2 linked regions of the Coturnix japonica genome follow. The protein of the gene in region 1 binds, or shares a complex with, the protein of each later gene. Links are inferred from orthologs where the notes say so. Each region holds a gene or a part of one and is shown on either strand. Other genes may lie near its edges.

Evidence for each region. The genes of interacting proteins can lie anywhere in the genome.
Region 2: BUD13 (region 1) and PPIL2 share a complex: the UniProt entries of both Homo sapiens proteins name them as parts of the minor spliceosome. The link is inferred for Coturnix japonica from reciprocal best matches to the Homo sapiens genes BUD13 and PPIL2.

The regions. Positions count from the first base shown.
Region 1 is NC_029539.1:4,396,916-4,404,512, reverse strand, and holds the end of BUD13 (BUD13 homolog), read left to right. Parts: intron 1-137; coding exon 138-222; intron 223-347; coding exon 348-405; intron 406-1,013; coding exon 1,014-1,816; intron 1,817-2,165; coding exon 2,166-2,274; intron 2,275-2,394; coding exon 2,395-2,488; intron 2,489-2,824; coding exon 2,825-2,930; intron 2,931-3,309; coding exon 3,310-3,448; intron 3,449-3,669; coding exon 3,670-3,854; intron 3,855-4,005; coding exon 4,006-4,087; intron 4,088-4,424; coding exon 4,425-4,518; 3' UTR 4,519-5,434; downstream 5,435-7,597. UniProt on the Homo sapiens protein: Involved in pre-mRNA splicing as component of the activated spliceosome. As a component of the minor spliceosome, involved in the splicing of U12-type introns in pre-mRNAs.
Region 2 is NC_029530.1:444,418-450,841, reverse strand, and holds the end of PPIL2 (RING-type E3 ubiquitin-protein ligase PPIL2), read left to right. Parts: intron 1-2,311; exon of another isoform or gene 2,312-2,469; intron 2,470-2,790; exon of another isoform or gene 2,791-2,964; coding exon 2,965-3,037; exon of another isoform or gene 3,038-3,171; coding exon 3,172-3,234; exon of another isoform or gene 3,235-3,709; coding exon 3,710-3,849; intron 3,850-4,352; coding exon 4,353-4,446; 3' UTR 4,447-5,619; downstream 5,620-6,424. UniProt on the Homo sapiens protein: Has a ubiquitin-protein ligase activity acting as an E3 ubiquitin protein ligase or as an ubiquitin-ubiquitin ligase promoting elongation of ubiquitin chains on substrates.

The sequences.
Region 1 (7,597 bases):
TAGGGCTTTGCCTTCAGCTTCTCTCTTCCCTTGGATCCATCATTTCTAGTTCAGGACTAGCTGACCTTTCAGTTTAGAGAGCATGGATCCCTTTATTGTTTTAAGCTGTGTTGGTTGGTCTGTTGTCTGATCTTCAGGTGGCAGAGTTTATTGATGAGCGTCCAGATGAAGTGAAGCTCATGGAGGAGTTCCGAACAAACGCTAAATGGAAGCTTTTAGGAGGTGAGGGTGGATCTTGCTGTCATTTCTGCCTGAATGTTTGTACAGTTCTAAACAGTGACATCACAAACTAAGGGTAGTTATGAAGAACCTTAATGGTGGTTGCTTACTGATTGTTTTTCCTTCAGACCAGAATGAAGAATCACAAAGCTCAGATATTTCAGTCCCTGCCAAACCTACCACAAGGTAAGGATCTCCAGCTATAAACTCCAGCACTGATTAATCCTAATTTCTGTTTTCACCTGCCTCATTCTGCAATTTCAAGGTGTGAATCAAAGTGTGTGAAGGAGCTTTCCCAGGGATACCTTTTCCCATGTTGGATCCACTCTGGCTGGTGGAGAAGTGCATCCAGCTGGCATTGCTGTCTGGGTTTCTGCAAGGTTCATGAGCAGTTATCCCACAGTCCTTTGATATCAGAGCCATCTGTGTGATGACAGACTGCAGATGTGTAAGATAGTGAGGATGGCGGTGTTACGACACGCCTCTTTTCTGAGGTAGTTATACAGGATCAGGTGTTGCTTTGTGAGAAGATGATTATTCTAGGGCACAGAGTGGGGTTTATAGTTTGAGCATAATAAGGTTTAATGAAGGCTTCAAGTGATACAGTTAAGAGTTTTTCTTTGATTGACGTCTCAGAGTGCTTCTTGAATTGTTCTTGTGCAATCTCTTGCTCAGTAATGCAGATCACTGTATGTTACCCTACTGGTGACTTCACAGATCTCATTTGATTTCTGTTTCCACTCTGAAGACAAGAAAAGAAAATGAGTAAGCTGACTCTTATTTAACTTTCTTAGGCAACGTCATGACTCCCCAGACAACTCACCACCAAGGCGAGTACGGCACGACTCACCAGATTTGTCCCCACTCAGACAAGAAAGAAATGATTCTCCCAGCCTCTTACCTTCCAAGCAAAGACAGCGTGACTCCCCCGACCTGTCACCTCCCAGGAGGAAACGCCACGACTCCCCAGACTTATCACCCCCGAGGAGGAAACGTCATGACTCTCCAGACTTATCACCTCCCAGAAGGAAACGCCATGACTCTCCAGACCTGTCACCCCCCAGAAAGAAACGCCATGACTCTCCGGACTTATCACCCCCTAGAAGGAAACGTCATGACTCTCCAGACTTATCACCCCCTAGAAGGAAACGCCATGACTCTCCAGACCTGTCACCTCCCAGGAGGAAACGCCACGACTCTCCAGACTTGTCACCCCCCAGGAGGAAACGTCACGACTCTCCAGACTTATCACCCCCTAGAAGGAAACGCCATGACTCTCCAGACCTGTCACCTCCCAGGAGGAAACGCCATGACTCCCCTGACCTGTCACCCCCCAGAAAGAAACGCCATGACTCTCCAGACTTATCACCCCCCAGAAGGAAACGCCATGACTCTCCAGACCTGTCACCTCCCAGGAGGAAACGTCACGACTCCCCTGACCTGTCACCCCCTAGAAGGAAACGCCATGACTCTCCGGACTTATCACCCCCCAGAAGGAAACGTCACGACTCCCCCGACCTGTCACCCCCCAGAAGGAAACGTCACGACTCTCCGGATCTCTCTCCTGTAAGAAGCAGTTCAGCAATGGGAAAAAAAGGTGAGCATGTATAAGAATGCGTAATGCAAAAACATAGAGTTGTGGTGGATGGGTTATTGTTTCTGTTGGTAAAACTTGTTGTCATGCTGTATTCTGATTACTTTGAGAAGAATTAACCTAAAAGTAATTTGTGTAAGTCTTAAATGCTTGTCCAAAGGGAAAATGAAGTTTAAGCCTCGTCTCTGAACAGTGCATGTTCAGAAGGAATGGAACATAAAGGCTGATGTCAATGCTTGTTCTTTCCCTACAGCTTTACCTCACTGAAGGTTTTGATTTTACTGTGGGTTATCTCATCTGTCACCATCTTTAGGCCTCTGGTGGTTCTTATTAATGTATGTTTGTGTTGCAGATGTTTCCTCGGTAAAAAAGATGCGTCATGACTCTGATTCTCCACCTCCACGAAGAGGTGCCCAAAGTGCCTCTGAGGCAGACCTTTCTCCCCAGCGGAAGAATCACAGGTTAGGTCTATTCCACATGTGAATTCTCATAATGTGAATTATGAGTGATTCTCATAAGCACGGTCCTCTTAAATGTGTTTAGAGCAAGTCTTCATGCTCCAATTTCTCTCATCCTCAAAGGGCTCTGCCTTCTGGAAAGGGTCAGCGTGGTTCAAGGAGTCCCTCCAATCTCTCAGATCATCGCTACCCAGATGAGAAGGGATCTCCCAAGAAGGTAAGGGGTTTGTCTTTCCGTCTGTGCTGAAGATTGCTTCCTCTGATAGCAATCATTAACAGTGTGATGGCTTACAGATGGTAGAGCAGATATATAGCTTGTAAATGCAGCTGTGCCACACTGTCAGTTTGCCATAAGACCACGTGTGAGGTAGATGGAAGATGAGCTCTGCATGAGCACTCTGTATTTCTGGAAGTCTGTGGAAGCTGTTTGCAAAGATGGCAGCAAAGTGGCTTTGTAACAGAGCTGCCTCTCGTGTAACTTCCCCTTATCATACCTGTGAGTCACTGGGCAGCTCTCAGCCAGCAGTAAATGTGATTCTTGTTTGATTTGCAGGCCAAGATGATGTCTGGGGTCAAAGCTGGTTTGGTGTCAGCTGACGTGCTGCGGAAAGAGCAGCAGGAGCTCAGGAAGCAGGAGAGAAGTAGCAAGCACTTGGAAGGTAAAAGTCTGAAACCAGTGCACAGACATCAGCTTTTAGTCTGCTTTTGGCTGCCTGTTAATGCTGTATCAGGGCATGTCTTAAAATGCTGGTAGTAAGGGTGTTGATGGAGAGTGTCTGTGTTGGCTGGCATCCAGGCATGCTGATGAATATACACAGGTAAAAGCCACTGGGTCTCTAAAATAGAAATTTATGAGTGGTGATTTCAAAGAGGTGCCAATGAGACAATTGTGAGGCTTTTGTGTCTCATCTGCCCCATCTGCTATTCCTGATCTGAAGGAGCAGGCTGTTACACCTATAGCTCATTGCATGAGCTATGGAGTGGTTTGGAAACTGAAATATTCCCACGTGAGTGACTCAGGATATCTGTTATCCCTAGAGGAATCCCGACACACGGAAACCATCTTCCGCGACAAGTCAGGCCGCAAGAGGGACCTTGTGCAGGAACGTCTTGAGCAGAAGCAGAAAGATGAAGCAAAGTTGTTGCATGATGAGCAATATGCCAGATGGGGAAAGGGGTAAGGTGTCTTGGTGACATGTCACTTTACAGGTTGCAGACTGGGGGTTGGCAATGAGTTTTGTGCCTGGGACCAGGTTATTTTGTGTGGGATTACCCTGTCTGTTGCTGGGTGCTTCTCAGGGATGCTACACACAGTAGATTCTGATCAATACTACAATTTGAGCAGATGGCAGTAAATTATTCCTTAGTTTTGAGGTGGTACTTTGTATGTGTTTTTAGATTAGCACAGGAAAGGCAGCAGCAGCAGAATGTGGAAGATGCAATAAAAGAAATGCAGAAACCATTGGCCCGTTACATTGACGATGAAGATCTGGATCGAATGCTGAGAGAACAAGAGAGAGAAGGAGACCCCATGGCTGAGTTCATCAAAAAAAGAAAAGCCAAAGAGAACAAGGAGAAGAAAGGTATGGAAAGCTGTGCTGGTGCAGGTTTTAATGCCCAAGGAGCATAGAAATGCAGCTGCTGTTCAGTGAACAGTGTGAGGTTGCTGTGGCAGCTGAGTCCTGAAGATTGCATTGTAGTAACCAATGTCTGTATTGCTGTTTTTGTCTCTAGAGAAACCTAGGTACAGTGGACCAGCACCTCCTCTCAACAGATTTAATATATGGCCTGGGTATCGCTGGGATGGGGTGGACAGGTAGGTATTCCTGATACACTGATGTCATTGAATGGTAGTAAAACTAAATGAGCTTTTGCCTCAGAGAGCTTACAGTGAGTGAGATGCAACTTATTCAACCTTAACACTTCTCATGGTTATGAATGGCTGGTAGGGACATGCTTGTCTGGGACAAAAGGGAGCCAGGTTCTGTTCTGATCTGTTGTGGCACTGCCTGCTGTTTGCCACAGCTCAGAGTGGAAACTCAGCTGGAGGTGTTGATGCAAAAGTAGTGGCAAACATGTGATGTCATTTAAAAGCTTTGTGGCTTTAGTAGATGTGCACGGTAGCCCATGGTCTTGTTGGTGTTATTTTGTAGGTCCAACGGATTTGAGCAGCAGTTCTTTGCCAGGATGGCCAATAAGAAGGCAGTTCAGGAGCTGGCATACAAGTGGAGCATTGAAGACATGTAGATAGAAGAAATAACCATGTGAAACAGCACGACTGAATTGAGATCTGCCTGCTACCACTGCCAGAGCCAAAAGTAACGGCTCCTCTGCCTGGACCAAGCACTGTTCTTGGCATTCAGTATCCCAGTGGATTGTCTTCTTGGAAGCAAGGCTGTGTTTAGAGGAGAGCTGCTGGAAAAGGATTTTCCTGCCAGCCAGAAAGGACCAGTGCCAAAAACTGGAGTGGCTGCTGCCCACAGAGGAACACTTCTGCTCCCTGGTGTTCCTTCATGAGGTGCTGCAGACACTGGTGTCTGACCCACTTATTTCTTTACTAATAAACTGTAGAAACTGTGTTGAAATGTTCTATGCCAAATGCTTTGTCCTCTGAAGGCAGTTGACAGGTCTTCAGATGTCCTAAATCTCAGGTTTATTTCATGGTGGAAGCATGCTGGGATTTAAGTCATGGAGGGTTAATCCTATCTGGTGTGTTGGCCTATTGCAGCACACGGTTGTGGTTTCAGCTATGGCTGAGTTCTTCCAGAGGGTGTTTTTTGCTCTGAAACAACTTAATACTGTGAGCTGATTTACCTGTGGGCTCATGTTATGTCTGCCCCATGTTCTCCATGTCCTTGCTAATGAGCCCAGAGAGCTTCTGCTTGTTCAATGTTGTGTAACTCTTAACCCTTCTGGTTCCTGGAGTCTTTGGCTTGCAGTGAAGTTAGCACAGCAGAGCTTCCTGTAGCCCTTATGGGAGCTGTGCCAGGTGGGTCAGTATGTGGCAAGAAGCTGCTTGCTGTACATATAACTCTAGTTCTCTACTAGAAATGGCTGAATGAACAACACGCCATGTTATATTTGACAGCAAAGTCTTCAGAAGCTCCAGCAGCTCCTTGGGGGTCAATTTCTTGTGGCAATAAACACGCAGAGGCCATTTAAACTGTTTCCCTTGGCCATTATTTTCTTCAGAGTAGCTAATGGTCATGGATTAGTCCCTACAGCTTTCTCTCTGGACAGCCTTGCTGATGGCTCTTAGCGCTGCTGCCTGGGGGCTCGCTTCAGCACGAAGCATAACCTCTCTCTTGTGATTAGATTTGTCCAGCTTGCAGCTGGAGGCCAAGCAGAGCGCTGCGCTCCATCCCTGATTGCAAGAAAGCATTTCTAACTAAAAACAACGGGTTGGTAACAGACATTGTATGGAAGGGTTACATAGCAACAGCATCGGAAGGTTGTGAGCCTGAGATGCTCTACCAATGAGTGTCACCACTGTACCTCACAACTGAACGCCACCGCTGCAAGAAGAAGCTCCCAAGCTGCTCCACCGGACCCTTTTGTTTAGAGAGCATGGATCTCTTTCTTTATTGTCTTAAGCTGTTTGTTTGGTCTGTTATCTGAGCTTCAGGTGGCAGTTTATTGATGAGCATCCAGATGAAGTGAAGCTCATGGAGGAGTTCAGAACAAACAGTGGAAGCTTTTAGGAGGTGAGGGTGGATCTTGCTGTCATTACTGCCTGAATGTTTTTACTATTATAAGCAGTGAAATGTGATTCTTGTTTGATTTGCAGGCCAAGATGATGTCTGGGGTCAAAGCTGGCTTGGTGTCAGCTGACATGCTGTGGAGAGAGCAGCAGGAGCTCAGGAAGCAGGAGAGAAGTAGCAAGTACTTGGAAGGTAAAGGTCTCAAACCACTGTACAACATCTGCTTTTGGCTGCCTGTTAATGCTGTATCAGGGTTTGTCTTAGAGGGCTGGTAGTTAAAGTGTTGCTGGGGAGCATCTGTGTTGGTTGGCATCCAGGCATGCTGATGAATTCACACAGGTAAAGCTGAGTCCTCAAGTTCTCCTTCAGGATTTAGTGCCACAGTGGCATCTTCTTTTATTGACCTGTTAGCACTTTCTGTTACTGCTTAGAGTGCAGTATCTAGTGACTTAAGTAGTCAACAAACTTCAGCTTTTTTAATGGTATTGTCTGGAGTTTCCACTGTGAGCTCTTTGGCTATAATGCAGCCAGTGCTTTGGGTCTGTGTATATGTTCCAGGCTGGGGATAATGTGACCACAGGATTGCACTGAAGAAACAAATGGCTGTAGTGCTGTTTCTGTCTCTAGAGAAACCTAGGTACAGTGGGCCAGCACCTCCTCTCAACAGATTTAATATATGGCCTGGGCATCGCTGGGATGGCGTGGACTGGTGGGTATTCCTGATACACTGATGTCATTGGTAGTAAAACTAAATGAGCTTTTGACTTAGAGAGTTTACAGTTAGTGAGATGCAATGCATTCAATCTTATCATTGCTTACAGTCATGAATGGCTGGTAGGGACATGCTCTGGGACAAAAGGGAGCTCTAGTAGATGTGCACAGTAGCCCATGGTCTTGTTGGTGTTATTTTGTAGGTCTAATGGATTTGAGCAGCAGTACTTTGCCAGGATGGCCAATGAGAAGGCGGTTCAGGAGCTGGCATACAAGTGGAGCATTGAAGACTTTCTCAACTTCTTTTCAAGGCTGCAGTTTTAAAATTGTAGATGTAGGTACAGATGTTTATTACTACCACGGGGACCTTATAGCAGAGTTCATTACAGTGCTGAATTTATAATATGTGTATTATGGTTTTATTACCGGAGACTTTCTTGCTAAGATATATCTGTGCAAAGCAGTGGAGTACAGGAGAGTTTAGCTGGTGTAATTTACACATAAAAATGAAGCCTTTTGTATCGTTGCCCAGATGCAAATTGTCAAATGCTGTGATGGCTGTTGTGGATAATAACATACGGGCTTTGAAATGGCTCTGCAGCTTCAGGAGGGCCAGGGGAGCTGCCTGTCTCCGTCTGTTGGTGGATCACGTGTGTCTGCAAACAGGCTGGATTGGAACACCTCCAGCCCAGAGCTGCTTTGCAGTGTCCCATCTGTGTCTGAAGAGTGGAGAGGGGGGGCTGGGGACACAGCTCTGCGTGGGCAGTAAGATCTGACACAAGTGAGTGTGAATACATCTGCCCTTTTCCTCTCAGAGTGACTCCAAAGGCAGCAGAAACCCTTTGTGAGTATGGAGCTGGGCTCTGGTATCTCTTGTGATGACTGCAGGATCCAGTATGTGGGATGGTGGCTTC
Region 2 (6,424 bases), on another chromosome or scaffold:
CTTCAAAGTCAGTGGGCTATTTAAGTAACGTTAAGCAGTGCCTCTCATTTTAGAAGGTTTTTTAGTGCTTTACTGTACTGCTGTCTTGTCTCAGCACCGGGCTTGTATTCAGATTCATTTCTGTGAGCAGTTTTATCACAGTATGGGAAGACACAAACCAATACTGAGAGCTCACTGTGCTGATGCTGCAGCACACATGGATGTACTTTCTGTGGAAAGCATTAGAGGCAAAGAGGCAAAAGAGAGAAAACAGTGCTGTGTTGTGGAGAAGAGAAGTTGAAGAAGGAAAGAGAATGACCTGCTGTGCGGGCCCACAGCTGCAGCGAGGGGAGAACAACGTTGTGCTGCCACTTGTGATTGAGGAGCACCCTTGCTAGACATGATACATGAAATGAAGGGAAGCTGCTGTCTGGAACCAGAGCTGACTTTTCTTTGGATCAGTTGGCACAAAATGGCCAGTTTGTCACTGCAGGCACCAGCACCAAAGCACCAAATGCCAACATGTTTCACTGGCTGCTGGTGCTGCAGATGAAAGGAAGTGCCGGCAGCTCCTCCCTCCTGCAGGGCACGTCTGCAGTTGTAAGCAAAGCTGATTTGGTGCCTGAACCTTGCAACGTCATACAGATTCTTTTATTTCAATGCAGTCTTTACCGCTAACAGGAAAAGTCATGGAAGGCAGTAAAACAACAAAGGCCCTGTAAGAAGCGCTGACTAGCAATGTCTGCTTGATTCTTGTTGACATCTGAGCAGTGGATGTAGAAGCCACCAAACCATCATGAGGATAATACCTTTGTCTTCTCTCCTGACACTCTCTAACCACGTCAGCCAGGTGGCATTTTGTTCCTTCCCTGCTGCCCTGTGAATGCCACATCCATCACTGATGTCAAATGTGCGAGTGACGAACTATTCCCAGTAACGTTAAATTAGCGCAGCAAGTGAAGGTTTGTGAGTGTTGCCAAAATGCATTAGGGGTAATATTGTGGGAAGTCTAGCTATGGGCTGAGGGATTACTCGATTGAATTGCTAGTCACAGCTGATCTGACTATTTTAAATGATCAGAACCTAATTAAATGGAAACACACAGGCAGATAATGAATGGAGCTGTCGGCTAGAAAATCCTCCAGTATTAGATCAGAAGTTTCCTTTAGGGGTAATTAAAATACGGTGAATGTATCTTAGGCTGTGTGTTAATCACTGGTATTAAAAGTAGATCTGATATTGGCCCAAGGAGGGCTTTGAAATTGAGTTTTCTATTACGAAGCTGCTGAAGCCAGTGCAGGGTTGTCAAACCCCCTCTGCTCTCAGGAGGTTCCCCCAGTGTGATATCTCCAGCTGCAAATGAATGCATCTGTTCCAGCCTGCATTCATGTATTTTAATTGCTCTTAGAAGTCACGACCTGATTGCAGAATATTAACACACCTTTGGGGAACTGAGAGAAGTTTGGAACGCTCAAACAACAACAAAGTGTTTGCAGGGACCTGTTCAGGCAGGTGATTGGCAGCAGCCTCTGGAACTCAGCTGTGCTTTCTGCAGCCAGGTCTTTGTGTTGGTCATGGTTATTGCTGTGTTAGCCAGGTGGTGCAGTGAGGTGCAGCCCTGAGCTCTGCTGGCTCCATAAGCTCAGGCTGCTCCTTGTTGTCCCACAGACACTCGTATGGGCTGTGGTTTTGGTTCCTGGATGTGGCCTGGCTGTGTTAACACAGATGTTGTCCAGCTACAGCCTGCATTTCTAAAGGCTCTGGATCCCCCCGGCATCAGTGGGCTTTATTTACTGCTGTTCTAGGTATAGCTGTTTTCACATTTAATTGAGGACAGTGATGTGGATAAAACCGGTAAATACCTTGGGACCAAGATGTGATCCCAGCAGGACCCCCTGGAAACAAACTGACTCAGTGGTTCCTATTTGAAGGCAGATTTTCACACCTGTCAGCCAGACTTTAGATTTAACGCGTGCTGTGTTTGCATCATTCTGGTTTCTCCATCAAAATATCAGCACCTTCCAGAAGTCCGTTCCACTGACGCTGTTATCCCTATTAACCACATCTGGTGGCTCAGAGATAGAACGCTGCCTGGCAGACTCTGTTTTCCACAGAACCTTGTTGATTGCCGTTACTTATTTCCTTTCTTTCTTAATCATGTCCTGTCTCCACTATTACATTATTTTGCTGGGATAGATGCCAGGAAGACGGGCTTATAATTATCTGGATCAGCCATTTATCCTATCTAAAAATCCTTTTCTGGAATTTTCCCATTGTTCCGTGCTTCTTTTTTGGATAAGGAGGGGACAGGAATAAAGCACCAACAACAGACCACAAGTCTTCAGGCTCCTTTTAATGTTTCAAAGCAAATATTTGGATACGTTGTATTGAAAAATGAGCAGCCGGGGATCCTCTTCAATACAGCCCATGATGAGGGGTGTCCACGATGCGATGCTCTGCTGCCTTCCCAAAGCCCCCCCAGGTTCATCACTGCAAGCAAAAAATGGGAAGTTAATGAAAACAATTGCTTTCTTGACCCAGTCCGGTCTAGTTTTCAAAGCTCATAGTAACATTTGAGATACAAATGTATGGATGTAACACTAGCAAATGAAGCCATTTTGCAATGGATTTGTTTTTTCTTGCACACACAGCTGTCCACAGTTGCTCCTTCTCCATCTGGCTGCTTTCTTTGCACAAAAGGGCTGCCCTGTTTGGGAGGAGATATCTTTGCATTCTCTCTGAATATTTGACTTTTCCTTACTGTGTTTAAACTTAAACTCAGATCCCAGATCTGAGAGAAAAGAATCTTACCTTCCATCTTGCGTGACATTATCTCAAGTTTTCCAAATGCAGTTGCTGATCCCTTCCCCTGAACACAGCGGTGTAAAAGTCTGGGGGAGTGGGTGGGCAGAGACGATGTTGGATGTGGGAGTGTTGGATGTCTCGGTGATGCTGTGACAGCTGGAAGTTGTCTTTCTCTCTTAGAGTGGTCGGCGGCTTTGAGACTCTGACTGCTATGGAGAACGTGGAAAGTGACCCCAAGACGGACCGTCCCAAGGTAAGTGGGAAGTGACGGGAGCTGTGTGGGGATAGAGAGCTGCATGGCGTGGTCACCCTGCTGCTGCTGCTGCTTCCCTGGGCCAGATGGTGCAGTTTAACCAGAGAGTCAATGTTCTCCTCTTCTGTTTGCAGGAGGAAATACGAATCGAGGCAACAACTGTTTTTGTTGACCCGTATGAGGAGGCAGATGCGCAGGTGAGGATGGCGTTCCTTCATTTTTTCAGTTTTTGCCCTGGTTGATCCCTTGTGGAGACCATACACTTTTCTGTGCCTCCTCTTTGCACCACCCCTGCATGCTGGAGGCTCTGGACCACACGGGCACAAGGTAAATTGGAACAGCTGCTCCTTACATTGCATTGTGTGCAGGGAGCACCGCTGCTGTTTCAGCTGAGAGGTCTTTGGAGCTCGGTCTGGCACAGTTCCCCTCCTCACCATTAACAGTAGCTTCCTTTCCAAATGCCCACTATGTGTGGAGGTGGGAAAGTTTTATTGTAATGGCTGCAGACAGCAGGTTTGTAGTGGCTCTTGAGGTCCATTTCCTAACGTCAACCCTGTAATTGCAGCAATGCTGATTGCTGTCTTAGAGTGCTGTAGAGCTTCAAAGAACTACAGTCATGGTCTCCTTACTCTGGACGAGCTGTTGTAACAGATTTCACTCTGCTTCCCATAGGTTGCTGCAGAAAGAGAGAAGGTTCAGCTGGAAGAAGAAGCAGCCAAAACAAAAGCTGAGATGGTCCCACTAAAGAAAGAGGTCCAGACTCCTAAAACTTACCGGCAGGGAGTTGGAAAATACATTAACATGGCTGCAGCGTAAGTTCCCTGCCCAGCAGATCTTTGTTCAGTTTTAGTTGCCTTTCCTGCTGGATGCTGACCTTGCCCGTTGCTGTTTCTCGGGGCTACCTGCTAGAGCATGCCACACACAAGGAGCAGACTTAGCCAGCTGCTTTACACCTAGTTCCCCATAATCCTTCTGCTTCCACATGACTGGGTGAGAAGTGGGGGCAGCTCTTGTGGCTCAAACTTTCAGCAACTGTGCTAAAAAAGTGACTGTTAAATCTTCTGCTCTGACCCGGAGAACTTGCTGGGGTTTGAACACATTCCTGGAAGTGCTCAAGGCCTGACACGAGCATCCCTGCAGACTGTCTGGGTGAGCCAGAAGCCCCAGCCCTGCTGTGCCAGTGCAGGGTGCGCACTCCTCTCTGATTCATAGCTGGCTCCAGTGTAGCTGTTGCAGGGAGAGGCAAGGCAGCCAGCTGCCCTGCTCCCACCCAGCAGTAAATAGTCCCTAAGGGGTGTTTTCATTTTGGTTCCAGGAAGCGCAGCGTGGAAGATGATGGGCCCTCAACAAGCACAGCTGCAAAGAAAGAGAAGAAGAGCACAGGCTTTGGGGACTTCAGCTCCTGGTAGCAGCAGCACAGCAAAAAAGAAGAGGCAGCCTCCCACATGGCCATGAAGAGCCCGAAAGACCATTTGTCCTGTGGAGAGGGAAGGCACCCGCATTCACTGTAGAAGAAAACTGTTGCTTTGTTAAGGCTGGTTAATGTGGCTTTGTTTTCAGGAGATCTGCGTTCCCCCAACTGCATCTTTCTGGAAGGCCTTTTTGTTGTTGTTCAGCTGAGCAGGGAGCACAGCTCCGCTGGGGATTAGCTGCAGCCTTTCTCTGCACAGCCAGCAGCAGCCCAGGCAGAGCCCAGCTTTGCAGGACGCTGCCTCAATAACAGCTGCACTGTGAAAGAGCTTCATTTACAGGTAATCATTTCCAGGCAAGCCAGGTCTGCTGGACAAATTGGTGTGTTGGGGAAGCGCCTGAGCTGCTGGAAGGCGCTGTGCAGGGGAGGACAGGGCTGGGCTGCAGCCTGTCCTGCTTCTCCCTTCCAGCTGCATTTTGCTTCTTCTCAGAAAGGACCAATTCCACATGTTCCTTCTGCCTCCTGGCTGGATTGGCTGCTGTCAGTGTCCACAGGGCCCCGCTCACTCTGAAATGAGCTGTGTCTGCACCCACGTGATCTCGAGCACTGGGAAGCAGTGGGGCTGTGCAGTGAGCAGTGTGCCTGCTGCTGCAGCACTGTGCGCTCCTCTGGCTGCTGGCCTCGCTGGAGCCCCTGGGCAGCTGGGGGGCTGGGCTGCCCCACTTCAGAGCTGCCCTCTGGGTCCAGAACTGACAGCCTGGAACAGCTGAGTGGGAACAGAAACAGCATCACAGCATTTTTTTTTAGCCATCCCCGAGGGCTGCTCCTTGCACAGGCATCTCCAGTATTTCCTTCCATAGCCACACAGTTAGGATGCTTACGAAAGGCCTTACAGAGTGCAGAAATGCCAGCCTGGGAGATGTAATGTGTGCTACCATCACTTGCAGGTGGTGCAGTAGATCCTGAACACAACTTCTCAGTGTTCTCGGGTGTTTTCAGAGCACAGCAGTGCCCTGCCCTGTCTGGCTGAGGAGGTGGTTTTGTAGTCGCCTTTGCAACCAGCACGTTGCTATCAGTGGTTTAAGAGCTTGAGGTCTCCACTTAGAGGAAACTGCTGTAAAAAATTTTTTGTAACAAGTTTTGCAATTAAATGCTTTTATTTTCCTTTGGATACTCGTGTTTGACCCTCAGCTGTGATTTCCAGGATCACAGCATTACGGCATTGATTGTCGTGCAAGGAAATGATTCATTCCTATGTCTAAAAGTGCTTGTGAGGAACTCGGGGATCTTTGCGGATATGATTCCATCCTTGTTAAACCATAGGAAGTTGAAACTCATTTAAAGAATAGCGGGGGGTTTCTGCAGTGTTTTGCAGGGTACAAAGCCAGACACGATTCCTGGAGCTGAGCAGAGCTTTCCTGCAGCTGAGCTGCTGGTGCTGTTCTGCAGTTTGCTGCTTCTGCTGGGCTGGCCTCTTCCTGACGAAGGGTATCGATCTCTTGTGTTGCCACCTGCTTTGTTGCATTTTAAAGTTGCAGAATTCACAGTGTTGCTGGAGCTGCTGCAGTTTAATGAACTCCGTAAGCATAAAATGGTTTTCCATAATAGATAACAACGGAGATTATTATGAATGAAGGGAGCTTTTGCTGACAAGGAAGCGGTGGGATGAGGACTGCTGTCCTGCCGAGGCCGTGTTGCAGGTGCTACAGAGATGGACAAGCAGATTTTTGCTGTCTTTGCTTGTGGTGCTCGTAGAAGTGCTCATATTCAGTGCTCATAGAAGAAACAAAAAATGGGGTCTTAGCATAGACTTAGCATAGCTTTTGTCTGGAAATGGGTAACGTGTTCTGTTTGCTCCTTTTGCTCCACACTGAGCTTCCTGCTGAAAAGCAGTGGCACTGGGTGGGCAGTGCATCCTCGCTGCCTGAGACCTGGCAGCGAACACCACTGGAGTGCTTGGGGTGCAGTCCCAATTT